Pelodiscus sinensis: one gene and its partners. The protein of the gene in region 3 purifies or fractionates together with the protein of the main gene of each other region. This does not show direct contact. Links are inferred from orthologs where the notes say so. Each region holds a gene or a part of one and is shown on either strand. Other genes may lie near its edges. The genes, in order: DUSP16, DUSP8, MAPK9 and MAPK8IP1.

What was found.
Region 1: the proteins of MAPK9 (region 3) and DUSP16 purify together in Homo sapiens (affinity purification with mass spectrometry; 6 studies listed by BioGRID and IntAct, with this or other methods). This does not show direct contact. The link is inferred for Pelodiscus sinensis from reciprocal best matches to the Homo sapiens genes MAPK9 and DUSP16.
Region 2: the proteins of MAPK9 (region 3) and DUSP8 purify together in Homo sapiens (affinity purification with mass spectrometry; 4 studies listed by BioGRID and IntAct, with this or other methods). This does not show direct contact. The link is inferred for Pelodiscus sinensis from reciprocal best matches to the Homo sapiens genes MAPK9 and DUSP8.
Region 4: the proteins of MAPK9 (region 3) and MAPK8IP1 purify together in Homo sapiens (affinity purification with western blotting; 4 studies listed by BioGRID and IntAct, counting the BioPlex papers as one, with this or other methods). This does not show direct contact. The link is inferred for Pelodiscus sinensis from reciprocal best matches to the Homo sapiens genes MAPK9 and MAPK8IP1.

Annotation. Positions count from the first base shown.
Region 1 is NC_134711.1:128,538,984-128,546,620, reverse strand, and holds the start of DUSP16 (dual specificity protein phosphatase 16), read left to right. Parts: upstream 1-4,470; 5' UTR 4,471-5,097; exon of another isoform or gene 5,098-5,100; intron 5,101-7,637. UniProt on the Homo sapiens protein: Dual specificity protein phosphatase involved in the inactivation of MAP kinases. Dephosphorylates MAPK10 bound to ARRB2.
Region 2 is NC_134714.1:116,978,675-116,986,000, reverse strand, and holds the start of DUSP8 (dual specificity protein phosphatase 8), read right to left. Parts: upstream 3,165-7,326; 5' UTR 2,852-3,164; intron 1-2,851. UniProt on the Homo sapiens protein: Has phosphatase activity with synthetic phosphatase substrates and negatively regulates mitogen-activated protein kinase activity, presumably by catalysing their dephosphorylation.
Region 3 is NC_134727.1:33,229,760-33,237,452, forward strand, and holds the start of MAPK9 (mitogen-activated protein kinase 9), read right to left. Parts: upstream 3,374-7,693; 5' UTR 3,178-3,373; intron 3,114-3,177; exon of another isoform or gene 2,822-3,113; intron 1-2,821. UniProt on the Homo sapiens protein: Serine/threonine-protein kinase involved in various processes such as cell proliferation, differentiation, migration, transformation and programmed cell death.
Region 4 is NC_134714.1:83,261,108-83,268,872, forward strand, and holds the start of MAPK8IP1 (C-Jun-amino-terminal kinase-interacting protein 1), read left to right. Parts: upstream 1-4,730; 5' UTR 4,731-5,423; coding exon of another isoform or gene 5,424-5,436; coding exon 5,437-5,522; intron 5,523-7,765. UniProt on the Homo sapiens protein: The JNK-interacting protein (JIP) group of scaffold proteins selectively mediates JNK signaling by aggregating specific components of the MAPK cascade to form a functional JNK signaling module. Required for JNK activation in response to excitotoxic stress.

The DNA of each region.
Region 1 (7,637 bases), on a different chromosome or scaffold from region 3:
TCATGTCATGGTCTTGCTGCATACACACATTCAATGTCTCTGGCTCATGAAATTTAGCATGTATTGTGTGCAACAGCCAAATTCTATGGTCAATATTTTTTTTTCAGTATTGCTTCCCTAAAGAGGCAGTGGCATATGCTAGTGAGATGAATGTCAAGCAACTGAGATCAGTTGGGGGACAATCAGTATTTGGGGCCCAGATGAGTGCAAACTGGCATGAAGAACCAGTAGTTTTTGTAAAATGCTGTTCTCTCAGTAGCTTTATTTCCAGAACACCTTGCTCAGATATCCCTCAAGTTTGGACCACTAACACTTCTAAGCACCCCTATGAGACACTGATAGTTTTAAGAGAATCCAAATAACCATGCACATTTTAGAATACTTAGAAGCATCTACTTCTAATCAGAAAATGATGTTCAACCGTGACCATAAAAGCTGGTGCTTCAGTATAGTAGAAGATAAATCAGACATTACTGTTGTTCTTTTTAAGAACATAAGAATGGTCACACTGGGTCAGACCAATCATCCATCTAATCTAACCCAATGTCTTGTCTTCCAACAGAGGCCGCCAGATACTTCAGAGAGAAAGAAGAGATCAGGGCATGTATCTGGTGATCCATTCCTTGTCATCCATTCCCAGCTTCTGACAGAGAAAGGTTTAGGAACACAACCACAAAATTGGGTAGCATCCCTAATCATCTTGTTTCATAACCATCAATGTTCCTACTCTCCATGAATGAAGCTAATTTAATCAGTGTTGCAAGAGATCATTCAAAGGTGAAACAAGCTGTTAATAGCTCTACTATCATAGGACAGAGGAGAGTTAATAGGTTACAAATTGTTGTAATAAGCCAGTATCTGTATTAAGACTGTGATTTTTTGTGTATAGTAATGAATTTAAGTTCACAGGTTTGTCTATTGACTCTGTGGCACAGGTTTCCTTTGATAATGAGTGCTAAGAAGTCAGATATGGAGTGTCCACCCATGGATTATATGGTGTTTTATCTTTTATCATTTTTCTGTATGAGTTAACTTTGAGAACATAGTGATTGTTTGGTTTCATAGTTGTTACTGGGGCATGTAGTGCACTGAATGAGGTACACCACATGGGCTGATAGGTATGTGTGTGACCCTTGGACCTTGAAGGTGTTTTGGGGGCTGGGCGGGAGAGAGGGGAGGGTTGATCATCATAGCAGAGCCTGGAAGTTAAGGTTTTGCATCTGTTGTTGTAACAGAGGTGTAATGTATAGTTACTTTGTGTGATATAAAAAGTATAACAAGATGTTCCAGCTTAACTTTCAATGTCTTTCCCTCAGGGTTTTTATTGCTGCTGTTGTTTTAAATAAAGAGTTTTTCTTTAAACAAAAGTATTTCTAAGATCTGGGCACTGATCTTGCAATGAAGGCAAAAGGAATCCTCACAGCCACAAGGGGCTACGTCTATATTGGCAAGATTTTGCGCAAATACTCTTTAACGCAAGAGTTTTTGCATTAGAGTATTTGAGTAAGAGAGCATCTACACTGGCATGTGCCTTTGCGCAAAAGATGCGCTTTTGCACAAGAGCATCCATGCCAGTGTAGATGCTCTCTTGCGCAATAAAGCTCCGATGGCCATTTTAAACATCGGGCTTTCTTGCGCAAGAAATTGATGTTGCTTGTCTACACTGGCGTCTTGTGCAAGAGGGCTTGTCCCTGAGCGGGAGCGTCAGAGTATTTGCGCAAGAAGCACTGATTTTATACATTAGAATGTCAGTGTTCTTGCGCAAGTACTTGCGGCCAGTGTAGACAGGTGGCAAGATTTTGCGCAAAAGCGGCCACTTTTGTGCAAAATCTTGCCAATGTAGACGTAGCCAAGGTGCTCTACTGGGAAGTCATCTGAAGGGCCTGGAGTCTTCACAATATGGCTGTTTTACTCTTTTGCTTATGATTCAATGTGTTATCATTTTAAATTGTTAAGTACAATTTTTGAAAAGTAATTGAAAATAACTATTGCCAGGTAGGACAATTATGATTAGTTATCGTTTATCTAGCACAGGGTGCAGGGTACCATAAGTTTGGGACCACAGTAAAACAATTACAAGTAAAAACTGTAAAGACTGGACAGAAAAGGGAGGGAACAGAAAATTTCCCCTTTTAGGGCTTGATCCTTGTTCATGCTTAGTTATACTTTACTCCATGATTAGTCCCATCGAACCAATATCTACACCATGTTGTCTAGAGTTCCTGAATGTAGCCACATAGTTAGGGTACTGGTTAGGACTTGGCGGGTGCTGGACTAAAATCCTTGCTCCACCTTTGACTTCATGTATGACCTGAGCAAATAACTCAGAGCTGGTCTCCACTAAGAACTTACATTGGTCTCTCCAGGGCAGGCCTGCACAACATCCAGCCCACGGGCTGCATGTGGCCGGTAGGGGCTCACTATGCGGCCCGTGACGACTACGGACGACGCGGCCTCATCTGATCCGCCGGCCAGGCACAGGAGCAGAGTGCTGCCGGGCTGCCTGCATGCAGCTCCAGCGCAAGGAGGCAGGGCGCAAGCCAGAGGGCGGGACGCAGGCAGACACCAGGACCCTGGCGTGATGTGGCGTCATGATGTTACGGCCGGCGATTAAAAAAGGCTCCGGCAGCTCCGCAAATTGGAAGGCAGAAGCCACGTAGGGGAGGGGAAGGGGTTTGTGCTGAGGGAGGGGGGCAGGTCAAGAGAAAGGGGAAGGCACCAAGGGGCAGGGTGCAAGAGAGACAAATGCCAGGGGGCCAAGTGGAGACAATGAGGAAAAGGGCAGGAGGGGAGGTGTCTGTGGGAGGAGGGACAGGGTGATGCTGGGAGAGGAGAGGGTAAGGGCATTGGGAGCCGTATGTTGTGCAGGCCTGATTTAATTGAAAAATTCTTAATAAAATATCACCTCCCCCCCCAACCTACCCTTGCGGCTAGGGTTGCCAGGTGTCCAGTTTTCTTCCGGACAGTCCGGTATTTGCACTCTCTGCACCGTAAAAAAATTCAGAAAATATTGGACATGTGCAATGTCCGGTATTTTTTGAATTTCCGGCTGGGTACTGGACGGAAGCCTGGTGGCGCCTCCTGCGGTTGTGTGCTGAAGCCAGGCAGCGCGGGGGTTTTTTGTATGCCCGACACGCTTTTTTTTTTTGCTCGACAAAAATTTTTAGCCCGCATGTTCGGTATTTTTTGGGAGACCATCTGGCAACCCTACTTGCAGCCTGCAGCTGTTTTCTTTGGAGTAATATGGCCCTCGCCGCTTTCCGAGTTGTGCAGGTCTGCTCCAGGGTGTGAAATGTCTGGAGAGATGTAGCTATATCAACCTTACCCACAGTGTAGATCAGTCAGAGGTGTGCCGTGGAGAACAGCAGAGTTCAAAATGGCCACCCTTAAAGGGGCAGGCGACTTTTTTTTTGCTCAATAATTTTCCCCCACTCCCCTTTTTTCCCCCTCAACAAAAAATCCTTGGTGTTCCTCATAAAAAAAATTATTGTTTGGTGTTCCTTGGTCTTAAAAAGTTGAAGAAACACTGGTGTAGATACATTTATGAACAGTAGGTCAACAGAGGAATTGTTCCATCACCCTAGCTACTGTCTCTTGGGATCATGGATTACCTAGGCGGACAGGACAACCCCTCCCATCAGGATAGATAGTGTCAACACTAAAGTGCTTCAGTACCACAGCTGCAGCAGCATTTTAAGTGTAGACATACCCTATAAGTTTCTGTTCCTCATCTGTATGATGGGCTTGATAGCATTGCTCTGCCTTACAGAGGTATTGTGAGCATATAAGGGTACGTCTACATTGCAATACTATTTTGAAATAACTAGCACTATTCCAAAATAATTTAGTCCGCATCTACACAGTAGGCAGTTATTTTGAAATGGTGTTGAAATACTGTCAAGCTGGAGGACTTCTTACGCTGACTCCTGTAACCCTCATTGCATGAGGAATGAGGGAAGTCAGAAGAAGAGTGCTCTATCTCAAAATAAGTGTTTTGGAGATGCTTCCTATTTTGAAATTTCAAAATAAGCTCTGCAATTGCTGTAGCTCAATTTGCTTAGTGAGTTAAGCCCTGCAGTGTAGACCCACCCTAAGGGTGCTAAGTGTCCAGTTGAGCTGGAGCTGCTGCTGGTGGTGGTAAAATTCCCTTGTGGAGACATGGCCTGGCTGAGACTTTCCAGGATTGGGTTAAATTGGCCTGTGAAGGAGAAGGCAGGAAAGGGAGAAGGAGGATGCTGGTGAAGGATACAGTAAGAGGGAGAAGGGGGGGGGGAGGCAGTAGGGGGGGGAGAGCAGAAGACAAGGAGGGGGAGGAGGCGGGAAAAGAGGCAGGGAGGGAGGGCAGCAGCGGCTCATTTGAATAGCTGCCTCATTGCACCCGCCGCTCTGCAGGCTCCTCCCAGGGGCTGCCTCAGACACAAAGTATTCAAACACGAGTGCGAGGGGAAGAACGGGGAGTCCCGCCCCCTTTCAAGGCGAGAGAGAAGAGCCAGACACGCCAGGCGTGACACCACTGTGGGGAGCATTAGGTGCAGTGCAAGCATGTGCTGAGGGGGAGGACGCAGCCGGAGTGGGGGGCTGGAGCTACTGCAGAGAGCAGAGTAGGAACTGCTTTGCCAGCGGTGGCTGCCGCTGTCTCCTTGCCCTGCTCCTCTTCCCCCCGCCCCCCCCCCCCGCTCCTTTCGTCTCTCCCTCAGGCTGAGTTCATTCACTGGGATTGGTTTCAAATGACGCCATCTCTTTATTTTTACATCAATGACCTCATCCCAGCAGCTTGAAGTTTACTGACCAGCAAAACTCCCTCCCTCCCTCCCTCTCTCCTCCTCCTTGTGTCTGTTTGTTCTAGCCATTTATTAGTAATTGTGTGGGTCCTTTTGGAACCTTTTTAACTTTCCTTTCCCTCCCCCCTTCAGTTTTGGAAGCTAGCTTGGGGGGGAGAGAAAAACTCCCCACGTTTCCTTTCTCTCTCCACCCCCCCCCTTCCCCTTTTAAATAGATCAGAATAAAGTTTTAAAGAAGAAGAGGAGCCTGGCGCTTTCCAGCGGCTGGAAGCAGAGAAAGTTGGGTCTGGCAGCAACTCCAGCAGCAAAGAAGCTGGTGGTAACTTTTATTCCTTCTCCAGGAAACAAGCGCGCGGGTGGAGGTGGAGCGGGGGGGGGGGGGGTAACTGTTGAAAGCAAAGTAGAGGAAGGAAGGGGGTTGGCAACAGGGTTGGGGTGTCCTCTCCCCATGTTCCTAGGGGGAGCTGCTCACCACAAGGGTCACCCCTATTACGATAGGGACACGACTCTAGGGTGGGCTGAAGCTACGAGTTGATCTCTTTGCAAACAGTCTTTAAAACCCCCGGGTGGGTTGTTCCTCTTTCCCCAGTGTTCTGCTTTGTAGCTGCCTTGGCTTGTGTCCTTTTGGTGGTGGTTGTCTGTGTGTTTCAGTGTGTAGGCCCCAGGAGCAGAGGGAGATAGCAGTTAAATGAATTGGGGGTGAGGGGAAGGTGGTGGAAGCTGCTAGTACTGATGGGCATATGATAATAATCTATGCTGTCTTCTCATCTTCCCACCCAATCCTTTTATTCCTCCCCCCTCATTTTTATTGGCAGGTTGTTTATTTGGCCCTGACTAGTGTACAGTCCCTTTCCCCACCTCATATGGGGTGGAAAAGGGGGGAGTGGACAGATGAGCTGGCAGTGTGGTACACTTTTTAGACATTTAAAAAAAAAACCCACAGAGCCTAACTGCTGAGCATTTTTGATTCTCTTCAACACAGCAAGCTGTTTTGTGGTTGTATGTGGTTTGGTTTGTTTTTCGGTTCACCTTTGGAAAAAGTACATAGCCACCTGTCTTAAATACCAAATTTTAAAGGAGAAGGGACAGAGAGAGAAAAACAGGGTTTCCTTTGTATGAGGCTAGAAAAAGCATGATTTTAAGAACAAGCAAAACATCAGGTAGTTTGTTTACATTAATGTGTATTAAATAAAACAAACTTCAGCAGATGTTTTGGAAATTTTCTGACTTTTTGTGTTTATTTTTACTTCTAGGAACAATAAGTGCATCTGACCCTTTAGATTTAGTAAATAGTCATTTGAATTCATAATTTCAAATATTTAAGTATTTAGAACAATAAAAACACTTTTTAAAATCCTCAAAGTACTATCCAAAACTTTCAAAATGTTTGTAAGTACTGCCTTGAACTTTACTAGATATTTTAACTAAGCAAGCCAACAAAATGGAGGGTTGATGTAGAATCCAAAAAAAATTACCTGTGAAATGTTAGCTTGATTCCATTTTAAATATAGCAATAAAAAAAAGATTGATCTGTGTCTTATATTACTTCAAGCCCTCCTTGGAATTTTTTTCTGAATGTTTTAAGAAGTTATGAGAGGAGGAAACACCCTCACCTTATTCAGCACATGTTGATGTGTGTATGTGACAAGTCTATTGCTTAAGCTGATCAGCAATGTAAACTGCATCTAAGATGAAGGGTGCGGAGCTGTTAAAAATCGTAATATATTTTTTCTACAATTATTGCAGTTCAAATTGATTATACATGTGTACTCTTGCCCCTCTCTTTCTCGTCATCTTTTCCCACGTTTCCAGATGAAAGGGACATCCCTAGCACATTTTACTGCTTGAGCTATGGCTAACTTTTGCTCAAATGTTCAGTGTTTATATACAATATAGTATAAATATATACACACTTTAAACTTGCTGGAGGTATTTTGATCTGTTCCTCACTGAAAGGATGCTTTGGTTCAGGTTCTCTGATTTGTTTTGTGATCTTACTTTTTAAAAGTGTGTGTTTCTCCTGTCAGCATGTGGTTTGGTGAACACAAGAACTTATCAAGTCACAGCTGAACAAAGAGGAGTTGGATATTTAAGGGGTGTATTTTGGGGGAGATTGGAGAAATGTTCAGGATTAATTTCTTTGTGTGGCGTTCACCTTGCTGGCTCGCTTGAAACTGGAGCATTCAAAGCTCTATTCCTGAGGTGAAGTATGAGGGAAGTGTATATGTTTAAAAAGCAAATAGGGTTCTTTTTTAGTGTGAGGTAGGAAGGAGGATGAACCTCTTTTTTTCAATTTTTTGAAACTGGAGAAAATTGTTAAAGATATATTATTCCCAAAGAGATCCTGCAATAACCAGATATGCTTGTTGGTGGTGTTAGCAGGACATCCTATACAAAAATAGAATTTGCAAGAGGTTGAATATACTCTATGCAGTAAGCTTCCTATTACAGTAGCACTTGCACATACCCCGATAGTGTGTCTTTTGCTGTATTTAAAAAGAAGTAATCTAATAGGAAGTGTAAGTTCAAGGTGACAGCGGCAGGATTTTGGGTGGGGGGGGGGTGGCAGAGGAGTTGATATTAAATGTTCTAATGTCTAAACAGGCTGTGCAAGGGTTCTACAAATCCCATTACTTTACTCCCTATTTAGATCACTCTTTCAAAACTCTGCTGGGTCCAGTTTTCTATTTCAGTGATCTAAATGGAAGTACAGGCAGTCCCCGGGTTACGTACAAGATAGGGACTGTAGGTTTGTTCTTAAGTTGAATCTGTATGTAAGTCGGAACTGGCGTCCAGATTCAGCCGCTGCTGAAACTGACCGCCAGTTCTGACTTACATACAGATTCAACTTAAGAA
Region 2 (7,326 bases), on a different chromosome or scaffold from region 3:
ACAGCCCAGGATAAAAGATCTACAAAGGCTTAGACTATTTTCATCCACCTCCACTCCATCCCTCATCAGCATAAGCCATTATTTACTAGATCCCTTCCTCAATCGCCACCTTCTTCTCAATTGGTTTCAATTCCCAAAAGCAGTTCAAATACAATAGTGATGATAGGTGCCTATGAGCAGCGGTCATAAAGCAAAGACATTGGGAGACTAAATAAAATGCCGCTTTCCAAGCACTTTAGTTCATCTTTACACATCTGCTACTTCATCACATGCACCTTAGCACAGATCGCTCACCCCTTTTGGAGCCAGGTGCTACCCAGCTTCACAGCGGTGGAGGATTTGGCTCAGACACCCTTACAAAAACTCAGAGGGGGGCCAAATCTAACCACTTCATAGCTGTGTACACATTAGAGCTGCATCTGTTGATAAGGCTGGGAGGAAATGAGGTGGAATCTAGCTGCATCCCACTCATACCATGAGAAGCTTCTTCAGTTTGGGGAAAGGAATGTATTTCGTCCCCAAAGGTTGTTTGGTTTTTAAATGTAGGGCTCTCCAGTTTACCGAGAGGTCATTTGGCAACAAGGGAGATGGATGACTAAGAAGTTTCATCCTAACGCCTATTGTATTTTACTATCATGAGCTGTGTGGTGTCCAAAGGTAGACTGTAAACTCTCTCCAAACATTATTGTCTGCTGGGTACCTCACAGCCTTTGTTCCGTGCTATGCAGATAAGCATTAGGGGCCATATTTTCAGGTATGCTCAGCATTTCCCTTTGTTAAGTGCTTTTGAAAAATCTGGCCACTAATGTAGATACCTAAGGCCTTGTGTAGGCTCAGATTTAAAGGCATGATGTTAGAGGAGAGGACTATAGTGATCATGCTACTGAGGCTAGCAAAGACAAAGTCATCCAAGGCAGATGCACTAGATGCAGTGAGTAAAAACCTATCAATGTTCAATAGAAGTTGTCTTGGAAAACAGTTTTGGAGTGTCCAGAGTCACTTGACAAACTTAGAGCTAACTCCAGGTCAAAATTCAAGTGTAGATCCAAGCCAGGTCACTTGAGAAAAAAAAGTCACACCCCCCCCACCAAAATAACCATGCCAGCAAAAGCCCTGGTGTAGGCAGTGACACTGACAAAATCCTATTGTAATAACATAGTACCTGTACTAACAGTGCAAAAAGGACAGCCTCTGCTCTGAAGAGCTTCCAGTCTCATTTTGCCAGTACAGCTTATTCTACATAAGAATGTAAGTGGAAGGGCTATAGCTGTACCAGCAAACCCTTCCTGGTGTTGACAAGGCTAAGCTTTAGCGTGAGCTACTGGGTACAGAGCTTCCAAATGTGTTGAGGGGCAGGTTTGTTTTAACTGGCAGACAACCAGGCTTTCACCTCCTATCAAACTAAGGCCAAAATAAGTCAAACGGTCACTGACAAACTCATTGCAGGAGTGAGAGTGCCTGTTACCCGGCTGAAAAAGCATCAGGTGGCCAATCAAAATCTTTAACATTGTGATCTTAAGACTTATCTGGTTTTAACACGGCTAACCCGGTTACCGTTCTGCCTGTATGTCTGAAACTTCCTCTCTGGCTACAAGTCTGCAGCTTATTTTTGACTGCAAGCTCTTCAGGACAGGGAACTGATTTTTTTTGATGGGTATGTCTGTATGTTCACACCACTAAGGACAATGGGGCTGAGATTCTTTAGCCTCTGTTGCAATACAAATAAACATGCATCATGGGCTGCACCCAGCAAGCACATCCAAACGTCCTTAACAGAAGAGAGTGCTGCAGCACCTCCTTCCTCACAACAAAACCACAAATTACAGCCCTGCAGCTCCCCTAATGCAGACTGAAGCACTGACGTCAGCTTTTAAGTACTGACCAGGAATTTATTGTGTAAAGGGATATATTAACCAATAAGGAAAACACACACACAACCCAGGAATCTTTCATCTCAACACTTCCAGCCCTCGGTGCTGAATCACAGCACACACGCAGCTCATGCTCCATCCTGCCAATGCGGGGAAATAATTGTAAGGGGCAAGCTTAACTCCTTGGTCACTAGCAGCGCCCTGCGAGCAATGGCAAGGAAGCCCCCATATGCCTCTTCCCTCCAAACACTAAGGCGACACATCCTTAAGAAACCGCAGGCTCGTTCACACCAGCCTCCCAAGCGGGTGGGCCCAGGAGGGAGCACACTGGTAAGTCAGCGCCTGCAAAGCCCAGGCAAATTGGAGCCCGGCTCTTCTGTAAAACCCCACGGTATTAGACCAGCAAACCGCAAACATATGTTCTCCTCCCCCCTCCGTGCACGCGGGCGGATCATGTCATTTGATTTGCACCCTGCAGGATTTTGTGAGGCCGCCTATCAAAAGTACCGCCCTGGCATAAGCACGTAGCTCCCTGTCAGCAGCTCCCTCCATTACAATAGCACCCACCACGGGATGTTTGTGTGTGTGTGTGTGTGCGTGCGCGCGCACCAGGTGAGTGTTGTGCAAAAATTCACACTGTTTCGTTACCAGCTCTGGGTAACACAAGACGCACCCTTCCATCTCCCCAAATACTGCCTCCAACGCGTGCCTTCTGCTCACCAATACACGCACCAGCGACTGCATCTTCCTGAGCCTAGCACTGCGTGTAAATACACACGCGCAGCCCATCCGTGCGGGTGTTGCATTACACAGAATTGGCGTCAGGAAGGTGCAATTCACAGCTACACAAAATACACCTCTACATCTGCATTTTCTCCCCGGCTCCGATCCCTAGGACCTACTGCAGGGTCATTCAGATACGGAGCACGATTAGAAGCCCTAAGCCACCTCTTCGTCCCTTACATTTTTAAAACACGTACCTTGCCGCACTTCCTCTGCAGCCGGGGGAATCAGCGCTCCTGAGGTGCTCCAGCTGATTGCAGAGTTCTGCACATTCGCCAGGATAATTCAACGCAATTACAGGATGATCAAATGAGAAGCACTGCCAGGCTGCTGCAAGTGCTGATGATGCAAGTCCTAGCCCCTTGCAAACACACACATGCACTCCCACTGCAATGTAGGCATAACACTAGCCCACTGAGTGTGGGGCAGGCATGGCCCTGCACGGAAGGGGCGTTGGGGGAGGATGGCACAGATAAGCATTAACCGGGCTGAAGGGATCCAGGAAGACAGAAGGTTGCACTTTAGAACTAAAAATGAACTGAGGATGAGGTCATGCCTTGAAAAAAAAGCACCTGACGTCACCCCCAGCCAATCAGAGAGGGAGGCTCAGGGGCAGGGTGACGTCAGCCTCTGATCCTGGGGCTTTGGGTGCAGATTAAAGGGAGACAGGCAGGCAGAGCTGCAGTTTAAAAGGGGCAATGGCCTAGTTTTTTTCCCCTTTTATTTATTCCCTCCCAGGCTGTAAACTCTTAAAAGGGAAATGCACTGTCTTACCATCTGCTGAAGGAGATGGGAGAACTGTGCAGGCTGGAGCGCTGGGCAGCGGTGTAAAGCAAGCTACTCATGCTAAATGAATTTGGCATGTATTGTGGGAGGGGAAGGGTGTGCAGGTTTGTTTCTTCGGCACACAGATATGCCCTGCTGTGCAGGAGAGGAACTGGGACACATTTTCCACTAAAGCCAAAGGGAGGGGACAGCATGTTTTATGAAATACAGCATGCAGCAGCCTTACATTTTCAAATCTGATTTCATTTTAGAAGGATGTACTTAATGTCCTCCTATAGGATTTTACCTGAAACAGATCCTGTCACCTCCAGAGCATGCAAGGAGTGACCTACAGCTGCTTGCTCAGTTTATGGCTGTCTGGGAGGAAAGAGGAAAGTACATTTCATTTATAAACCCTTAAAATAGCAAGGGACCGTGGAGCAAGAAGACACCCAAATCCACGCTTTGTGGATGGAATATGATTCAGGAGCTGAAATTATCCATCTCTTTCTGTGGCAGAATTCCAAGCTTCTACCTCCTGGAGCTCCTCTGAAACACAAAGACCTGATCATTGGTTTTTTTTTAAAGCTCCTCTTACAATCTTCTATACTTCCCTTTGGGTGGGGCTGTTTTTCTTCTTAGTATTTATTTGTATTGCCCACTAAAGTGATCGGCCACAGGCAGCAGGGAGCTATAAGAGTTCATTCCTTGGGTGGTGCTACTGTAACGCTAGCGGGCCTGCTGGCGCAGGGACTCCCTTCAGCTGAGGTACCCTGCTCTCTGACTGGCCACTGCTGGCATGTTGGGAAGTGTTAAAAAGACAAGAGGACAATTGAGCGATTGCTTCTCCTATATCCCCTTCTTTAAAGAGCTTCTGTCCTGCACGCCTCACAGCCCGATACAAGCCCCCTGAAGTCAGTCACGGACCCTTTGGATCAGACCCCTCAGCCAGCTTCCTATAAAACAGGGAAATGGGGAAATCAGCCTTTCTTTGCTGCTAGACTACTTCACCCTCCCAAGCTATTGCTGGACTCTCTGCTTTAATTACTCCCAGCCTCAGGAAGCTGAGGCCTGTTAGGCCAGAGAGGTTTGTTCACTCTTGCCTCAACTCCTTGCCCTAGAGCATTGTCTGTGCCTCTGAATTACTTTCTGTAAACAGTAAACACGCCACACAGGAGCCATGAAACAAGCATCTGATGGGAACAGAATCTGGGGCCTGTTGTGATTTGATTTCCTCACTTTAGAGGGGTGGGGGAAAGAGAACATGAAGGCAAGACTGGGAGAGAGATGAGATTTAAGATATCCATTTCTCAGGTCCACTGTAAGGGCTCACCAAACCCAAATGCCACCCTTCAGAGTCAGCACATGTTTGGGCCCCTTGAAGAGCTGACACTTTCAGGTGATGTTGCAGTTGGGGTGTCATGCTGTGTGATGGAACGCCGCACCTCTGTGCCATCCCAGGGGCACACAATCGCCAGCCAGCCAGGAGAACTGCAAAAATAGCAGTCATTTCCTTTGCGACATTGGATGTGGCCAGACAGCCTCCAGTTTAAAGAGGGATTAAACTTTAAAAGCAAAGGTTTTGCTAATACTTACAAAATCAAGGAAAGGCTCCCTCCCCTTTCCTGCCTTCTTAGGAAGACAGAGAAGGATATATGTATTTTAAAATTAACTCTTTCTTCTCCAGACATGTACAGATGAGCTGGCCACATCAGGATTTCAAATTATTAGAGTTATTTAGATTGCAAGGTTGGAGAGGCAGCTTTGTTTATATATTTGTATAGTACCAAGCAGTCCTAGCCATTAGGGGCTACCATGATGCAAAGCACTACCACTACTACCATCTGGGAAGGACTGAGATCCCCCCAAGTTACCCTTTACAGCCACCAGAATTGATCACGGGAGATAACTCAGGCATCCGGGCAGAGCAACCATCACTGGGAGTAATAGGGACAAAGTTATTAAGGGAAGTTCATTTTTATGTGCACTCAAAATGTATAACTGTGCCAATTACAGCCTTGGATTAAACCAAGGATTGGCCTGAATTACAACCATCAATGGCCAGACCACTGTAGTCACATTGCTGATATAAACCCCAAACACAATTATGCAGAGCTGCTCTTTGCACCAGGTGCAAATCATAGCTTATGACAGTCCTGACGGCACTAGAAGTTTGCCCCAGCATGATTATACTGGTAACCAACATCCTCAGCACAGCCAATGCCTGAATTTCTATATTATTTTCTTCCCTTTGGCCTCGTTTCAGCCTTGTAGCACATTCCTTCAACAAAGTTATGGGTCTTAATTTTGGAGTGCCTTGCAATTGTGACGGCAGCCCTTTCTACCTGGTCAAAGTGCAGGAGGTGCACTGTGGGTCAAACATTTCAAACAAAAAATTGACTTCTTGCACATGAAAATTCATAGGTTTTTAGACTGTCCTCAGAAAATGCAAAGCCAAGGAGTTTTTCATAAATAGCTTGGATTTCATACCTCCCCTTCCATAAACTTTTTTTTTCTCTCTCTTACTTTGCCCCCCGCCAGTGATTAAAATCATACAAATTAGGTGGGGGAAGGAAGAACAATCTGAAAATGTTTGAAATCCAAGATGTTACATATAAAATTGTGAAAAAAATAGAGGAAAAGTCATTGCCTTTTGAAATCTGATGATGATTATTTCAAAAATTTATAGAAAAAAAATTAAATATGATTTCCATGCAGTTCTATCAAGATGCGATCCAAGTCAGAATTCTCCACACAGCTGGCTCATCCTGACAAGCATTCTGTTCTGAAACAGAGCAACATGAGCTGGAGAGGAGGATGCCACTGCACACCCTACTTGCAGTGGTAGGAGACTTCTGGTCAGAGTAGAAGGAACAGTAGATAGCAATAAAAGTCCAATGAGGCAAAGGATCCTAGATCAGTGGTTTGCCCATATATGTGAGGAGCCAGTTTTTAAGCCGGCTCTCCTCGCATGCCGGCTCCATAGAGCCACCTGCCCTCTCCCCTCACCCCCTGCTGCCTCCCACAGAGACAGTGATGGGGGACAGGCAGCAGCATGGAGGGAGGAGGGAAGCAGGGGAGGCTGCCAGTTTAAAAACGAGCTTTTCACCATATTTCCTGCTAAGGTTCGCGCCTGGGCAACCACACAAAAAATCCCCCTCCCCCCTCCAGGAAAGCTGCGCAGCAGCACTTGTGCAGCAGACAGCTGCTCCAGCAGGCAGGGCCAGCTGAGACAGCAAAGTGAGGGAGCCTCTGAGGTGGGGCACTGGGACATGCCACAGCTGTGTGGCGGGGAGGAGGGGACTACTCTTGTGACTGGCACTGCCGCGTGGCAGGGGTGGCAGGGCCTGTTCTCATGGCAGGGGCTGGGAACAGGACCTGCCGCATGGCCAGGGGGGACTGCTCCAACGGCTGGGAATGGGACATGCTGCATGGTGGGAGGGGCAGGGTGTCTACTCCAGAGGCTCAGAACAGGACATGCCACATGGCCAGGAGGTCTGCTCCGGCGGCTGGGAACAGGACATGCTGCATGGCAGGGGAGGGGGGCAGTTTCTGCTCCAGCAGCCAGGAATGTGTGTGTTAATAAATTGGGTGCCATAGTGGCACACATCAAACCAGCGCACATGACCTCAATATTGGTGCAGAAACCACAATTCACTACACTCATGCTTGGAAAATCTTAGAGGGAACGCTGCTCCCCACGCAGACTGGCTCCCGCCTGCCACTCTGCACTGCAGTGGGGCAGGAGTGCACTGCCCATGTTCCCTGGCCACGTCCCCAGGGCCTATCGAATAATTGTGTAACCAATAATATTTAATGTGCTTACAGGACTATTCAATTCATCGCTATCTAATTTCCCTAGTTTTCAAACTTTTTTTCTTATGACCCACTTGAAGAAAATTAGAAT
Region 3 (7,693 bases):
ACTAGTGATGTGACTAGTCGCTCTCCCTCCCCCCTCGCTGCCTCTACCAGAGAGAGGAAGCAAAGGGGGGGAGCAGGAGTTGGGGGGGAGCCGGCTTAAAAGCCGGTTCCCCTAGCACAGTCTTTGCAGGGGGGTAGAGGAGGTAGAGGGACAGTGGAAACGCTTTTGCTGTGATTCTGCTTTTGAAATGTACAAGAGCTTCAGAGGGGCCTCCTTTTGAAATGTACTAGAGCCCGCTGGGGCTCTTGTACATTTCAAAGGCTCAGGCACTGCAGGGCCATTCTCCTGCTGGCCCTGCACTCCCTGGGGTGCTTCCGCCTTTGAACTGTAGCAAGAACCCCAGTAGGGCTCTTGCTACTGTTCAAAAGCGGAGTCGCCCTTATAGACTAATCCAGGGGTCTCCAAACTTTTCAGCCCGAGGGCCGCATTAACTATCAAACAGCAGTTCGGGGGCCGACTACACACTTGAGGTCCAAATAAAAAACAATCAAAACATGGATGTTGTTTTAATTATTTAATATTATTTTATTCAGTTATTATTTAATAACACATTGATACACTACACATGAACACCTGTATTAGTGTGAATGGTGAAATTGTTTCCTGGATGCCAAAATAGCAGACATTTCTGGCTTTAGATTTGTTGTCCCTAACATCAACAGTGACCTGAGATTATCATCGGACAAGTTTGTTCTCAAATTGTTCTTCACGTAATTTTTTTTCCGTAGACAAAAAGGTCTCCACGGGCCGGATGAGAGGGCCTCGCGGGCCGCATCCGGCCCGCGGGCCGTAGTTTGGAGACCCCTGGACTAATCGAATAGTCAATGGAAATCCCACTGACTATTCAATTAGTTAATTAATCTAAATTTAACAACCCTAATTCAAGCCCAGGTCCAGCCCTGGTATCGGCTCCGAGCCATGGCTCAGGTTCTATTCCAGGGATGGGGAATCTTTTTGGGGTCAGGGGCCACTGACCCACAGAAATAACAGTTGGGGGCCCGCACGCAAGTGAGAAACAAAAAAAACCAAAAGACTAATCCTCACTGATGTGGCCCTTAACTAAGGAGAAAAACACGTTCCACATTCCCCTCACACACCGGGGCCTGGGGGGCCTAGGCTAGTAGATTCAGTGTGCTCCAGCTCCGTGGGGGAGCGAGAGATTGGGGTGCCAGCACAGGCTCCCCAGTGCTGGAGGGGGGAGCCCTAAGCCTCAGGGGCCAGATCCAGGCAAGCTGGGGCCCACCCCTGCCCTATTCCCAATTGTACCCCTGCTCCCAGGCAGTTATGGCCTGCCCAGGGCCCCACTTCTGGCCACGACCCTAGGCCTGCTTCTGTCCCTTGCTCCTGGCCGCAATTCCAGCCCCTGCTATTGGCCAACTCCCAGCTTTTGGTCCTACTTCTGGTGTCCCAGTTGCGAGCCCAGCTATGGCTCCAAACACCCTGGAGCATTAGGCTTTTAAGAATACACAGTTTTCAAACTAATAATATTGACAGTGAATTAATTCTTGGAAATCAGTAAACTAAGACAGCATAAACTGCTACAACTCCTGGTCTACGTCTAGATTGCATCCCTTTTACGGAAAAGGGATGCAAATTAGACGTATCCCAATTGCTAATGAAGCAGGGATTTAAATCTCCCCCACTTCATTAGCATAAAAATGGCTGCCGCTTTTTTTTTGGCACAGAGCTTTGCCGGAAAAAAAGCGCCATCCTAGACGCAGATCTTTCGGAAAATAAAGCCTTTTCCGAAAGATCCCTTATTCCTTATTTTAAGAGGGATAAGGGATCTTTCGGAAAAGGCTTTATCTTCCGAAAGATCTGCGTCTAGGATGGCGCTTTTTTCCGGCAAAGCTCCATGCCGAAAAAAAGCGGCAGCCATTTTTATGCTAATGAAGCAGGGGAGATTTAAATCCCCGCTTCATTAGCAATTGCGATACGTCTAATTTGCATTCCTCTTCCAAAAAAGGGATGCAATCTAGACATAGCCCTGCCATATACTAAGAGATGTTAAGAGTTTAACCAGTTAACTGATAAAACAATACTTATTGATTAATGTAACCAGTAAAATGCTGCTCCCCTGGGGAATTGGCTGCCCCTCCCTCCTACCCCCACCACGGCTTTACATTTGAGCTTGGAGCCTGCAGGCAGGTTCAGTCCAGGCACATGCCGGGTCTTGGCAGCTGACCCCACTCTGCTGCAGCTCTGCATTTCTGCCTGCTGCCTCCAAATTTAAATGCAGAGCCGCAGCTTGACAGCAGGACCAGCTGCTGGGACCAGCACATGCCAGAACTGAGTTTGCCAGCTCCTACTGCAGAACCCACTGTGGGCTTAGTACATCCCCAGGCTAAACTAACAGTTAACCGCAGACCCCATAAGACATTTAATGGGGTTGCAGGCAGTGTAATATGGGCACTGGTGTGGCGCCTCAGGAGAAATTCAACTGCAGCCCAGCAGAGCGCCCACAGCTATGTTTTGTTTCTATGGTGGTGCACATTTGCACATGCTTCCGTGCTCATAACATTATTCCACACGTGGATGGGATTGCTGAGAGGGAACACCGGCCGGGGGGGGGGGTGTCATTTTTGTCGCCAGAAGAGGGTAGCGGGGTTTAGAGAACCCCGCCCTGCACTAGACCCACAAGAGCCGAGTCGTAGCGGGCCTGTCCATCACGGCTGCTCGTGTTCTCCGGCGGAGCCGGGTCGCAAGGACTTTCCCACGGAGCGATCCCACCCGCAGCGGCGACAGCTCGCCCTGCAGTTCGGCTACTCGCGCGCCGCCCTCCCTCCGGCGGCACCTCCCGGCCGGGCGGGCGGGCGCTCACCTGAGGCGGGAGGATGCGAGCCGGGCAGGAGCTCGCGGCTCTGACAGACTGCGGCAGCGGGGGGAGGGGGCCTGGCGAAAATACAGCGCCCCGGCCCGCTGCGGGGGAGCTCCAGGGCCAGGCCGGGCCCCAGAGCGCGGGAGGAGGGGCGGCAGGGAAAGTTTCCGGCGACAGCTTCGCCCTGAGGGGAGGCGGGCTCGCGGCACCCGCGCGCAGTGGCGGGCGAGGGTCTCGCGCGAGCCGCCGCCCCCTCCCCCAAGGCCTGGAGACTCCTCCCCCCTCCCCGTTCCGCCCGCCAACGGAAACCGCCCGGCCGTTGGTTCCCCTTCTCCCCCGCACCGCCCCTCCCCCCTCACCGTCTCCGCCTGAGGCTCGGCGCGCGGGTCCTGCGGTCGCCGCTTCGCTTCTCCGCCTGCCCGGGCCTCCCTCGCCACAATGGCCTCTCTCGTCACAGCCCCCTCACGGGCCGCGCCAGGTCCGGACCCGCTAACAGACAGCCACGCCGCCCAACCACTGCTCCCCGCTCGCCGGCCGCAGCCAATCAGGCCGTGGGGGCGGGCCGCGCTAGCCACTACATAAGGAGGGTGGGGGGACTGCAGTAGAGGCGGGAGGGTCTGAGGGATCGTTTTCTGGGTGGCAACGGCAAGCTCCTCGTGGTGATGACGTCACCAATCTGTGTTAGCCTGTTCCCGTTGTTGTGATGTCATAAGTGTGATGTCATCTCACACCACAATGCCAGTCAACGCTTCAGGGCAAAGCACCAGTGTCAGGTAGGGTTGCCAGGGGTCTGGTTTTGTACCAGACAGTCCAGTATTTGAGCTTTCTGTTCCCGCAACAGATTGAGAAAATAGAAATGTCCGGTATTTTCTAAATAAGATGCAGTGTAGATTGTGATGTAATGTCAAGTGTGTCCGGTATTTTTATTGAAACCAGCTGGCAACTCTACTGTCCCCAGGGTGGCGAGGTCAGTCCCTCGCAGCAAACGGCTGTCGTGCCTAGCCCTGACGTCATAAGAAGACCCTCATGTTGCCACATGCTGATGCCATCCCTTCCTGTCAGGATGGAGCTGGGCGCTCATTGCATCACAATGAGTCTGCTTTCCATCAAAATTGTAGGAGACTGTGATAGGAGGTGACCACTCTGCTGCTACCGAACCATTCCAGTGATTCGGCAATGCATGGCTGCCACATTTCCTTACCGCATAGCCACCACTGGAAAAGGGGGAAGGAGGTCACTGTAGGTAGCACAGCCTCCCCCACTCTGTTAGTTGTTAAACATATGAATAGCTCTTGTAATCCACAGCATTGGTGTAAAATGCCACAGTATGTGTTTAGAGTAGAGGATGACTGAGCATTAAAAGCCCAGTGAGGGGAAATATTTAGCCACCGAACTCACAAAAATCTACATTACAAGCCTGCTCTTCCGTACTCATTCCCTCCCCACCTCAATCTTCAGACTGCTTGCTTTGTAAAACTGCTACTGACTAAAAAAATACAACCTTAACACAATCTACATCAATGGGTGGTAAGTGACTCAATGCTTGTGATGGGCTGGACCCCCTGGTAGGCTGAGGTAACACTGAGCTTGCCTTTTCTGCCAGTCTGGGCATCCTTTAATCCTGTCTCCTTGTGTCAGGCTCTTAAACGTCTTCAGAGCACGCACACACAGGGGTTGCACCCAACTGCAGCATGATACCGACATTGATACCAGCTGTGGGAAGGCTCAGTTTAAGGGACTTGCCACAGCACGCAGGTGGCCACCTCCCTTAAAGTGCAAGCCCAACATTATATGAAAATCTGCCTCCTCTGTTGATGTGGAGTAAGATATGCAAAATTTCTCTCCCCCACTGCCACTAGAAATTACATAAACTGGGATATATTGTAAAGAAATAAGTTTAACTACATAAAGATTGATCTAAAGTGTTTATAACAGATAGCAATCTGCTCTTCTCTTTGCTAAGAAAATACAAAGCATGCAAACTGCTTAAGTCAGTTGGCTAACAAACAATAATGCCTCACCCTAGATATTATTTAGGTAGATTATTTTACAGGCCAAGTATCTTGCCAGCCTGAATCAGGCAATTCTTCTCCCACCCTGTTCCGGTCCTTTTATTTCCTGTTATTTTCAAGCATCTCTTTGGGTGTGGAGGCAGAGGAGAAGCAAACTGAAGGCTTTGATTGTTTTCCTCTTCCATCTTATAGGATTTCCATACGGCACAAATCCTTTCATTCCCCCATCTCCCAAGTGGAAAAGTCCAACACTCAAAGATGGAGGCTAGTAACAGGTGACCAGATCACTTAACGCCGTAGGATCACAGCATCCATGAGTCAGTGGCAGTATGGAATGTCCCCAGGAAGGCCAAGTCTTTTCACACAAAAAAACTTAAAAAAACAAATAGTCTTGCAGGACCTTAATGTTTTTTCAGTTAGGGTATGTCTACACATCAAAGTTATTTCGAAATAACAGCTGTTATTTCTAAATAAATTTCCTAGTGTCTGCAAGCCAACCGCTATTTCGAAATTAAATTGAAATAGCGGAGGGCTTATTTCGAAATTGGTAAACCTCATTCCACAAGGAGTCACGCCAATTTCGAAATTGCTATTTCGAAATAAGTGCTGTGTAGACACTTATTTCAAAATAGGGGGCCTCCAGCCCTTCCCAGGGTGCCCTGGTGGTCACTCTGGCCTCAACCAAGAACACTCCTCTCCCTTCCCCACTTCCCCGGAGCCCTTAAAGAGGTAGACTCTGGCCACAGTGCCTGTGCCAGCTCCAAGCCTGCCAGCCCAGAGCCAGCAGTCACTACTCCTGACCTAGTGGCCCCAAAACATGAGCCAGCAAGCCACTGGCAGCCAGTCCTCCACCACTCCCCAGGAGCAGTCTGCCAGCTCCCAGGAGCTTGCCAGGGCCTGGAGAAGGCGGGCACCTTCCTGATCCAGTGCGGAGATCATGGACCTTATTCAGGTTTGGGGGGGTGCCCCCAACGTCCATGATCTCCACACTAGATGGGGGAACGCGGCCATCTATGGCAGGATAGCTGCCAGCCTGGCCACCAAAGGCCACATGTGAACCTAGGAGTAGGTTTGCATGAAAATCAAGTTGGTCCGGCGAGATTCCCCAACCCTGAACTTCCCCTCCCCCTTCTTCCCCTTGCTTCCTCCTTCCAGCTCCCTCCTCCCAGGTTTCTCCCTCCCCTCTCCCATCCGCTCTCCTCCTTTCCCCAGTCTCACCAGAGTTTCATCCCACCTCCATTTTGTTAAATAAAGAGAGTTTGTGTTCATGAAAATACATGTATTTTATTTTACATCAAGAAAGGGGGTTAGGGAGTGGTAAGTGGAAGGATATGAGGGAAGAATGACGCACAAGCCCTCAGTGGGGCAGACCAGGGAGGCTCTTAGTGCCCCGTAGGGTGGAAGCTTTCCCGCAAGGCCTCCTGGATACTGACAACCCCCCGATGGACCTCCCGGATGGCAGCCTGCAGAAAGTGCAGTCAGGCTCGCAGCAACGTGTCCACGAGAAGCACCAGAGTGCCCAGGGGCAGCTCTGGTTCCATGTTGCAGAGTGCTGTGGTGTCCCGAGTGAGGGCAACTAGAGCACGCAGAGACAAAATGCTTTGCTGTCCCTCATCGAGGTAGGCAAGCAAGCAGGGAAACCTGAGAATCTGCTGTTCAGGAGGGGTTCCTTTAAGCACAGGCCTCGGATAGCCTCAGGCAGCAACCACACAATCTGAGATCTGAGGAAGTGGGTCTGGCCCACGAAAGCTCATCATCTAATAAACCATCTTGTTAGTCTTTAAAGTGCTACATTGTCCTGCATTTTGCAACCACACAATGTAACTCCTGACCTGATGCCCTGCCAGACCTGGTTCTAGCCGGCCTTAAATGTGATTCAGCGTCCGCTCAGTGTGGACGTGCTATTTCGAAATAGCCAAATGCTATGTTGAAATGCATTTTGTGTGTAGATGCGTTATTTAGAAATATCTTATTTTGAAATAACTATTTCAATATTAGATATTTCGAAATAACACTGTAGTGTAGACGTACCCTTACAGACTAACAGGGGCCCTCTGAAGCCTTTTCACAGTCCATTGCTGTCACTGATGGGCCATCAGCCCTGTCTGGCTTTTCCATTGTTTTACCTGTAGTGTTAGCAGTAGGTGTTACTCTCTGTAGCATAGTTGAAATACAAATAGAAATATTGACTATGTAACTTCAGATACAAAAATGATATAAGTATACAAGTTGGATAGTCACATTCAGTAAATCATAACCTTTCCAATACCTTATCTGAGCCATCTCAAGGTCTCTCTCAATTATGAAGAGTGATAGAAATGTAGCCATGTTAGTCTGGGGTAGCTGAAGCAAAATGCATTTTGCTTCTCTCAATTATGTCATCCATATCATAAGCTTATTTGCATAAAGATATGGAGTGTAACATCACAATGAGCATTTCTACCTCTGTCTAGTCTCCCCTCACTGTAATTTTAAAATTTTTTTTACTGAATTAACGTGCTTTAGACTAGTTATCAAATTGCCTTAATACTGCACTTTTTGGCAATACAAGAAAACTAGCTGCTCAATAAACAGAAGAAGCCCTTTCCATCACCTGCCAAAAAATTCTGTTCAGCAGATGCCATTGGCTTCCATGCCTGATTTTCACTATACCTTTTTTTGGTGTAGTACTGGCTTTTGACAAGTAAAACAAACTGTGGGAGCTTCAGAACTATTTACCAGAAATTACTACAAGCAGCTATTGTAGCACTGTCAAGCCATCCAGTTAAGTATTAAAACATCTCTATTTAAAAGCAACTCTGCAGGGAATATCTTGTATGTATATACAAACAAAAAATTCTTGACAAGTACATGCATGAGCCAT
Region 4 (7,765 bases), on a different chromosome or scaffold from region 3:
CCAGACTGATTCAAAACTGCATAACCTAAAGGACTCTAGGGCGACTTTAAGATCCCTGGGGATCCACACACCTGCCCCCTGAGGAGACCCCTGAACTCCAGACCACGGGGAAGGCCATTCCAACAGGGGTTCAACTCTGAACGGGGCAGAAGGAGAGGCCATAACAAGATAAGAAATGATCCATCTCGAAACAGACACAAGGGTTCAAGATCAGACCAGGATAAAAGACCAATCACATCTCAGGGACAGCACCCCAAACCCTCATTTCAAGGGCACGCTCAAGGACAGCGTAGCATTCAAACATCAGTTACCCCACTTTGGTTTCCATTTATCCCGTTTCTACCAGGCCTGGTCCAGCAAACTTCAGACCAGTGGGTTCTAGACCTGATAGCAAAGGGTTATTCAATTCTCTTTTCCTCCCTCCCTTCGTCACGGCCCCCCTCACTCCTCCCCATCCCGCTTCAGGAACTCCTCTCACGAAACCCTGCTCAACCTACCTGTTCTGCTAAAACAAGAGGTAGCAAAGCTTCTACACCTCGGAGCAGTGGAAACTGTTCCAAAAGAATTCAAAGGAAGGGGTTTCTATTCCAGATATTTCCTCATCCCTAAAGCAAAAGGGGGCCTTCGCCCCATTCTAGATCTCACGGATCTAAACCCGTTCATATGGAAAACTAAGTTCAGAATGGTCACCCTAGCCTCCATCATCCCCTCCCTCCAGAAAGGAGATTGGTACGCTGCCCTCGACTTAAAAGATGCTTACTTCCATATTACAGTGATCCTTGCCCACAGGAGATTCTTCAGATTCGTAGTGGGTGACGAGCACTTCCAGTTCACAGTCCTACCTTTCGGCCTCACCACGGTGCTGAGTGTATTCACCAAATGTATGGCACCAGTGGCAGCCTTTATGAGGCACCAAGGCATACATGTTTTTCCTTACCTGGACGATTGGCTAATACGGGGGTCGTCTCGAACAAGTGATGAGGCACATCTCAAACACCAGATGACTGTTTCTCCAACTCGGCCTCATAATAAACGAGGAAAAGTCCACCATAATCCCCTCACAAGTAATAGAATTTGTAGGCGCCTGTCTGGACTCCACAACAGAGACAGCATCTCTGCCCAGACACAGATTTCAGACTATGTGATCAGTGATTGTGGGCCTTCAGAGGTCCCCCATATCCACGGCCTGCAATTGTATGTGACTGCTGGGTCACATGGCAGCCTGTACGTACATCATGATGCATGCCAGACTCAGACTGCATCCACTGCAGGGGTGGCTAAGCACTGTCCACAACCCAGTGCGACAGCCTCTGGACATGGTGGTTATTGTCCCAAAATCAGTACTATGCTCGCTAGACTGGTGGACACAGGAGGAAGTAGTATGTGCAGGGGTCCCTTTCAACAAGCAAGCCCCATCTGTGCAGTTAGTGATGGATGCATCAGATGTCAGGTGGGGAGCCCACTTGGGAACCCTAAGGACACAAGGACTATCGTTACTGAAGGAGAATTCTGTGCACATAAATGTCAAAGAGCTCAGGGTGGTCAGGTTAGCATGTCACGGATTCCTGCCCCATCTAGAGAACAAGGTGGTGGAGGTGTTAACTGACAACACGTCAGCCATGTACTACATCAACAGACGGGGGGGTGCTCATTCCTCTCCCCTGTGCAGGGAAGCTCTCAAACTCTGGGAATTGTGCATATCCAGGAACATCTACTTGCATGTAACCTACCTTCCCGGGTCCAGCAACAATCTGGCAGACAGACTCAGCCGTTCCTTTCAAGTCCACGAGTGGATGCTCACGAGAGATAGTTTAGAGAAGGTTTTCCAGAGGTGGGGCTATCCCTTTCTGGACCTGTTTGCCTCCAAGACCAGTACCCAGTGCCGGAAATACTTTTCTTTCATGAGACAGGGAATCAGGCCCTTAGGGGACGCTCTACGTATACAATGACCCACTCAGCTATTGTATGCATTCCCTCTGTTCCCACTAATACAGGACACTCTAGTCAGGGTCAGGCGTTTCAGGGCAAGGGTCATCATGATATTGCCAAGGTGGCCTGACAACACTAGTTCTCCACCCTGAGAGAATTGTCAATAGAGGACCTGGTTCGACTACCCCTAATCTCAGATCTAATCACACAAGATCTGGGGCAGGGGACACTATGCCATCTGAACTTGACGGCCCTCCACCTTAGAGCTTGGAACCTGAGTGGCTTTCTAACCTAGAACCAAGGTACTCACAAGAGGTCCAAAGGGAGAGTAGAAAGCCATCTACCGGAGCCCTTTATGAAGCCAAGTGGAAGAGATTCGCGTTGTGGACACAACAAAGGGGCATTGACTCAATCAGGGCCAATATTCCTCTAATATTAGACTATCTACTATAGCTCAGACACCAGGGCGTCCACCAAGGGAGGGTGGAAGGTCAGTGTTCGCTAACAGCATGGTGAAAAGATTCATGAAAGGAATCAATAGACTATTACCATATATACGTCCCCCTATTCCTCCATGGGACCTTAAGGTAGTCCTTAAGGGACTCATGCGGCCACCATTTGAACCATTAGCCACCTGTTCTTTAAAACATCTGTCATGGAAGGTGGCATTCTTGGTAGCAATTATCTTGGCCAGGAGGGTATCAGAGCTACAGTCTCTTACCTCAGAGCCCCTTACACAGTCTTTTTAAAGTTAAGTTCAGACTACGAACTCACCCGGCCTTTCTCCCTAAAGTGGTATCTTATATCCATATATCCCAGGACATTTACCTGTGTTCTTCCCTAAGCCACACAAGACGACCAGAGAGCAGGCTTTGCATTGCCAGGATGTGAGGAGAGCCATTGCATTCTATATAGACAGGACAAAGGAATTCCGTAAGTCATCACAACTCTTCATTTCCATCACAGAAAGAATGAGGGGAGTTCCAGTTTCAGCTCAGTGCTTATCCTCCTCGATCACCTCATGCATTCATGAATGTTACCATGGAGTGGTAAGACACCTCCCCCACTGAGAGCACATTCCACACGAGCTCGCAGGCGACATCCGTGGCATTTCTGGCACAAGTGCCTATCCTGGACATCTGTAGGGTGGCCACGTGGTCCTCCGTACATACCTTCTCAGAACACTATGCCATTACACAATAGGCCAGAGCAGATGCAGCTGTGGGAAGGGCTGCAATCTGTAGAAAGATATCATTACTCTCCGACCCCACGGCCGGGGACACGACTTGGGAATTACCTGATTGGAATAGACATGAGCAAGCACTCAAAAAAGAAGAGGTTACTTACCTTGTAACTGTAGTTCTTCGAGATGTGTTGCTCATGTCCATTGCAAATCCCACCCACCTCCCCTTCGTCAGAGGACTTTGGCAAGAAGGAACTGAGGGGGTGGAGGGGCCAGCAGGGACATATGTGTGCGGATATGTACCTGGCTGGCCCTATGGATACTGCTAAGGGAAAAAAGCTCCGGGATCCGTGCACATGGCGCACGCACACCTAATTGGAATGGATGTGAACAACACATCTCAAAGAACTACAGTTACGAGGTAAGTAACCTCTTCTTTACCACAGTCGAAAAAACCGCTGTGTTCTTTCGATTTAATTTCAAAAGAACATGGTGGCAGTCTAGACTCGGGAAGTTTTTTCGAAAAAAGGCCACCTTTTTCGAAAAAATCCTGTAGTCTAGACACACCCTCACTGAGGGAGGCTGCTCCAGGCTGCCTAGCCCAGCACATACACAGTGGCTCAGGCTGTCTTGTAATCTGAGCCTAGGTGGGAGATGCAATCAGGTAACATCTTTTGTTGAGAGGGGGCGGGAGCTGGACAAAGAGGGAGGCGGGGCTGCCTGCAGGGCTGGGACTGGTTGCTGGGTTTGTGAGTTAATATCAGCTGGCTTAGGAATCAGGATGGAGGGCATCTAGCTGGCTTGGGAGGCTCTGGGCCCCTCTATTGCCAAAATGGATTGTACTGACTGCTCCCAATTCCTGTGTACCCTGTGAACCAATAAACCTTTTGTTCTGCCTGCTGGCTGAGAGTCACATCTGGCTGCAGATGGGGGTTCAGGGCCGGATGGCTCCCCACGCTCCATAAGAGGCTTCATGTATGTTATTTCCTTAAGCAGTGCTACTAAAGTTATGAAAATGATTTAAATGCCATCTCAGCATGGACTCAATATGGCGTTTTTTCTAGACCTGGTGGTATGGTTAAAGGAGGGGAGGAGTAGAAATAGTTTAAAGAGCAAGGAGTAGAAATAGTAGGTTAGTGGACCCTGCCATGAATAGAAATGGTTCCACCTCTTTCTTTCAATGAAAATTGTTTGAAATCTGGCTTTAAACCTCCCCCTGCTGTGACCATAATGCAAACAGTTCCTGAGTAGCAGTAATTCAACCATCTCTAGGGACAGGCATGCTTCAGGAGGGCAAACTCTGCTTTCATCAATGTCTGAAAAATAGGATCTACCATCCCCGTTTGGGTCAGGGTGCTGATGAGGCATGGAGGGGGAGGGGACAGGCAAGCCTGGAAAATTAAAATACCTGTTGATTTTATTATCTTGCCCTTTCCAGGCCCCTTGGAGGCTACTGCCTAGCAGCTTTGGCTGCAGCCTACCCCCTCTGCTGGCTCTAACCCCGGCTGCATTTGCAGGGCCCCCGCAGTTGCTTGGCTGTAAGTAGTGGGTTGAGGGAGGGGGGTCTGGTGCCTGCAGTCCTAACGGCTGTGCTGAGACATTGGGTGGGGAGGAGTGGGGTGCTACCCTGGAGGTCTCCAAGATGGGAAGGGAGTGTTCGGTTTTGTAGGAGAGGGTCATTGGTTCCTTTTCCCCCTCCTACTCCTTGGATCTTCAAGAGGTCAGGGACTGCACCTGCTTTTATGTAAGGACCCATCCACTCCTCTCACTAGGAGCCTTTCACAGAGAGTAGTAGGACGCTTCATCACCTGTCAGCCTTCTTCCTCAGCCGCTGCCACCCTCATCCTCACCCACTGCCAGCCCCACACATCCCTCTCCCTGCGAGATCCCGTTTCCCAGCCCAATCCCCTCCCCCCTCGTCCTCCGCTCCTCCCTTTCCCTCCCCTCCTCTCCTTAGCCTTCGCCAGCCCATCCCCTCTCTCCTGCTCCTGCCTTCCCCCCGCTCCCTCCCTGCCGCCTGTCCCGGGCGCTCCTCGAGGAGCAGGACGCGCCCAGCCGCTGCTTCCTCCTCCCGCGTGGGGCTCCTGGGCACCGTCGACCTGCTGCAGCTCGCCCGGCGGGAGGGGGAGCCAGGCTGCGGCAGTCCCCTGGGGGCTCCTCTCGGGCAGTTCGGCCTCCGGGGGCTTCGGCTTTGAGCGGCGCCCTTGGCTGCCAGCCCCCGGGGCCTGCCGCAGGTGAATTCCTGCCTGGCGGCCCCGCTCTGCCCTCCCCTGCCAGCGTCGGCAGCATCCGTCTCCCCTCCCTCCGCCTGATGGAGAGAGAGAATGGCGGAGCGAGAGAAAGGAGCCACGTCCCCGGCCGGATCCTCTCCCTTCCTGGGGCTGCACCTCGCCTCGCCCCCCAATTTCAGGTACCGCAGCCTCCCCGCCCCCGCCCCTCTGTCCCTTTCCTGGGGGGGGTCGCTGCAGATCTTTGGCGCAGCCCCTTCCCCCCCCCATCGATCCCCGTTGTGGGCACAGGCTGCAGGCGCCTCTGCGCCCCCGGCCGCTGGCAGAGGCTGGGAGCTGCGGCGGTGCCCGTTCCCCACCGAGGAGGCTGGGCGAGGGAAGGGGCAAAGGCCGCCCCACCCCCTCCCCCGAGCGGGCATGCACAGGCTGTATTGCCGGGGCGGAACAATGACTGCCTGGGGCAGCCGGGTCCCGTCTCCCTGCCCCACAGCTGGCTCGGGGCAGTGTAACCCCTCCCCTCCCCCGGCCAGAGGGTCAGGCCCCGTCCCTGCTCGGGGCTGCGAAGGAGCCGTGTGCCCTGGAACAGGTGGGGTCTGCGGGGAGCGCTCCTGCTCTCTCGGGCAGCCAGGCGAAGGCTTGCGCCCTGCAGCTCAGTGGGGAGGGCTGGGCTCTGGGCAGCACAGCGGCAATCTGCATGGTAGGCAGTGTTTTTCCTGCTGGCTTTGTGTGTGTGTTGTGAGGGAGGGATGGAAATGCACACACAAGCATCCCCTCTCCAACCCGAAATCTCGCCACAGCATCCTGGAGCACCCCCGACCCTGGAACCCTCCCGTTATATTCCCCTCCTACCTCCCACTCATGCTTCCCCAACACCTCCCACCCAACCATCCACACCTACTTCCAGTCATCTCCTCCCACACTACTTCCAAATCCTATTTCCCATGGAAGCCCCAGAACTGCCCCCATTTTCTCTCCCCCACACACACTTTCTCCAACACAGAAGACTTCACAGCCAAAAAACACACCCCCTTCCCCAAAACAGATTTCCTCCCCAGGAAATACTTCCTTCCTCCTTCTTTCCTCTTTCTTATGTCACCTCAGAGACCAGGACCCCTGTGTATGCTCCTAGGTACAGACCTGAAACAAAACAAACCCAGGAGAGTGTTGCAGATTTAGAACCGATCCTCTCAGAAATACCAAAACCCCCCATCTATTTGGGACATAGAGCCCTTTTAATTTGAAGGCTGTGAAGCTGTTCACAACATGGGCCTAACAGCTCCAGGCAGATGCAGGGATAGGAGCAGAGGGGGACAGCAGAACCTACAGCTGCCTAGCTGAGATAAGGATACAGGTAGGCTTGGGTGGCAGGATGCCTGCCAGTTTGACTTCTGAAGAGCTGAATTAGCAAAGGGGTGCACAGGGGGCAGCACCTGATATTTGGTCTTGCATAGGCCATGCCACTATTTTTCCTGTGATTTGAGGGGCTGATGTAGTTTGTTTTTCTGAAATTCTGAGCAAGTGTCATCTGGTTATCAGATGTGTGTTTCATGAATGGTGGGGCACTAAGCCTAGAACTGAGTCTGAGCTGGGTAGGGAGATGAGACCTGTACTGTATTGTATATACTTATACTGAGAAATGCTGTTATCAGAGGTTAATGTTTCACATGTAATTCTGTGATGTGTCTAGGAGTCTGAGAATTGGGGAAAGGGAATATCTGCCATTATTTTGAGGGGAAGCTGGCATGGTGTTTGGACATTGTAAGGCAGGGTGAGAGCCCTTGTGCATACTGTCATTAGGTTCTAGTGCTTCCTCTGCTAAACAGCTTTATGGGGCTCTGCAAAGAGTAGCCCACTCTCTTCCTTTTAGTTCTAATGCTGCCTATTTGAATTGTCTGAAGCCATTGCATGCAACATGGGGGCGTGTTGCATGCAAATTAAACAATTCAAGCTGCCTCTGGAAGGGTCCACCATGAGGAAGAGTCTCAGCCACAGAGCTGGATAATGTGAGTCTAGCAGCAAAGCTCAGCCTGGTCCCGTGACAGTCTCAGGCTTGCTGTGTGCTGCTGTCCTAGATACAACATTTGTCTCCTGGGCTCTGTCCTCTCAAATGTAAACAGCAACACCCAGGGAAGGAAGAGCATGGTGTCATCTCCTTCTGTTGTCCAGGTCTCCAGAAGTGGAGTCCAAATGCTCAAGAAGCAACTTTTAATAGGAAAGGGAGCTGGGAATAGTAAGACCTTGTATGGGGAGAAATCTCAGGGCTCTGACACAGCGGGGAGAACTCAGAGGTCTCTGAAGTTAGGGAAAATCATTCCAGGAGCCCTGAGTTTGGGATCAGGTTCCTGGGATTCATGGAAACAATTCTGACATCTCTGAACTTGGGGTGAATTTTGAGGACCAGAGATGATGAAATATTTACGGGTGT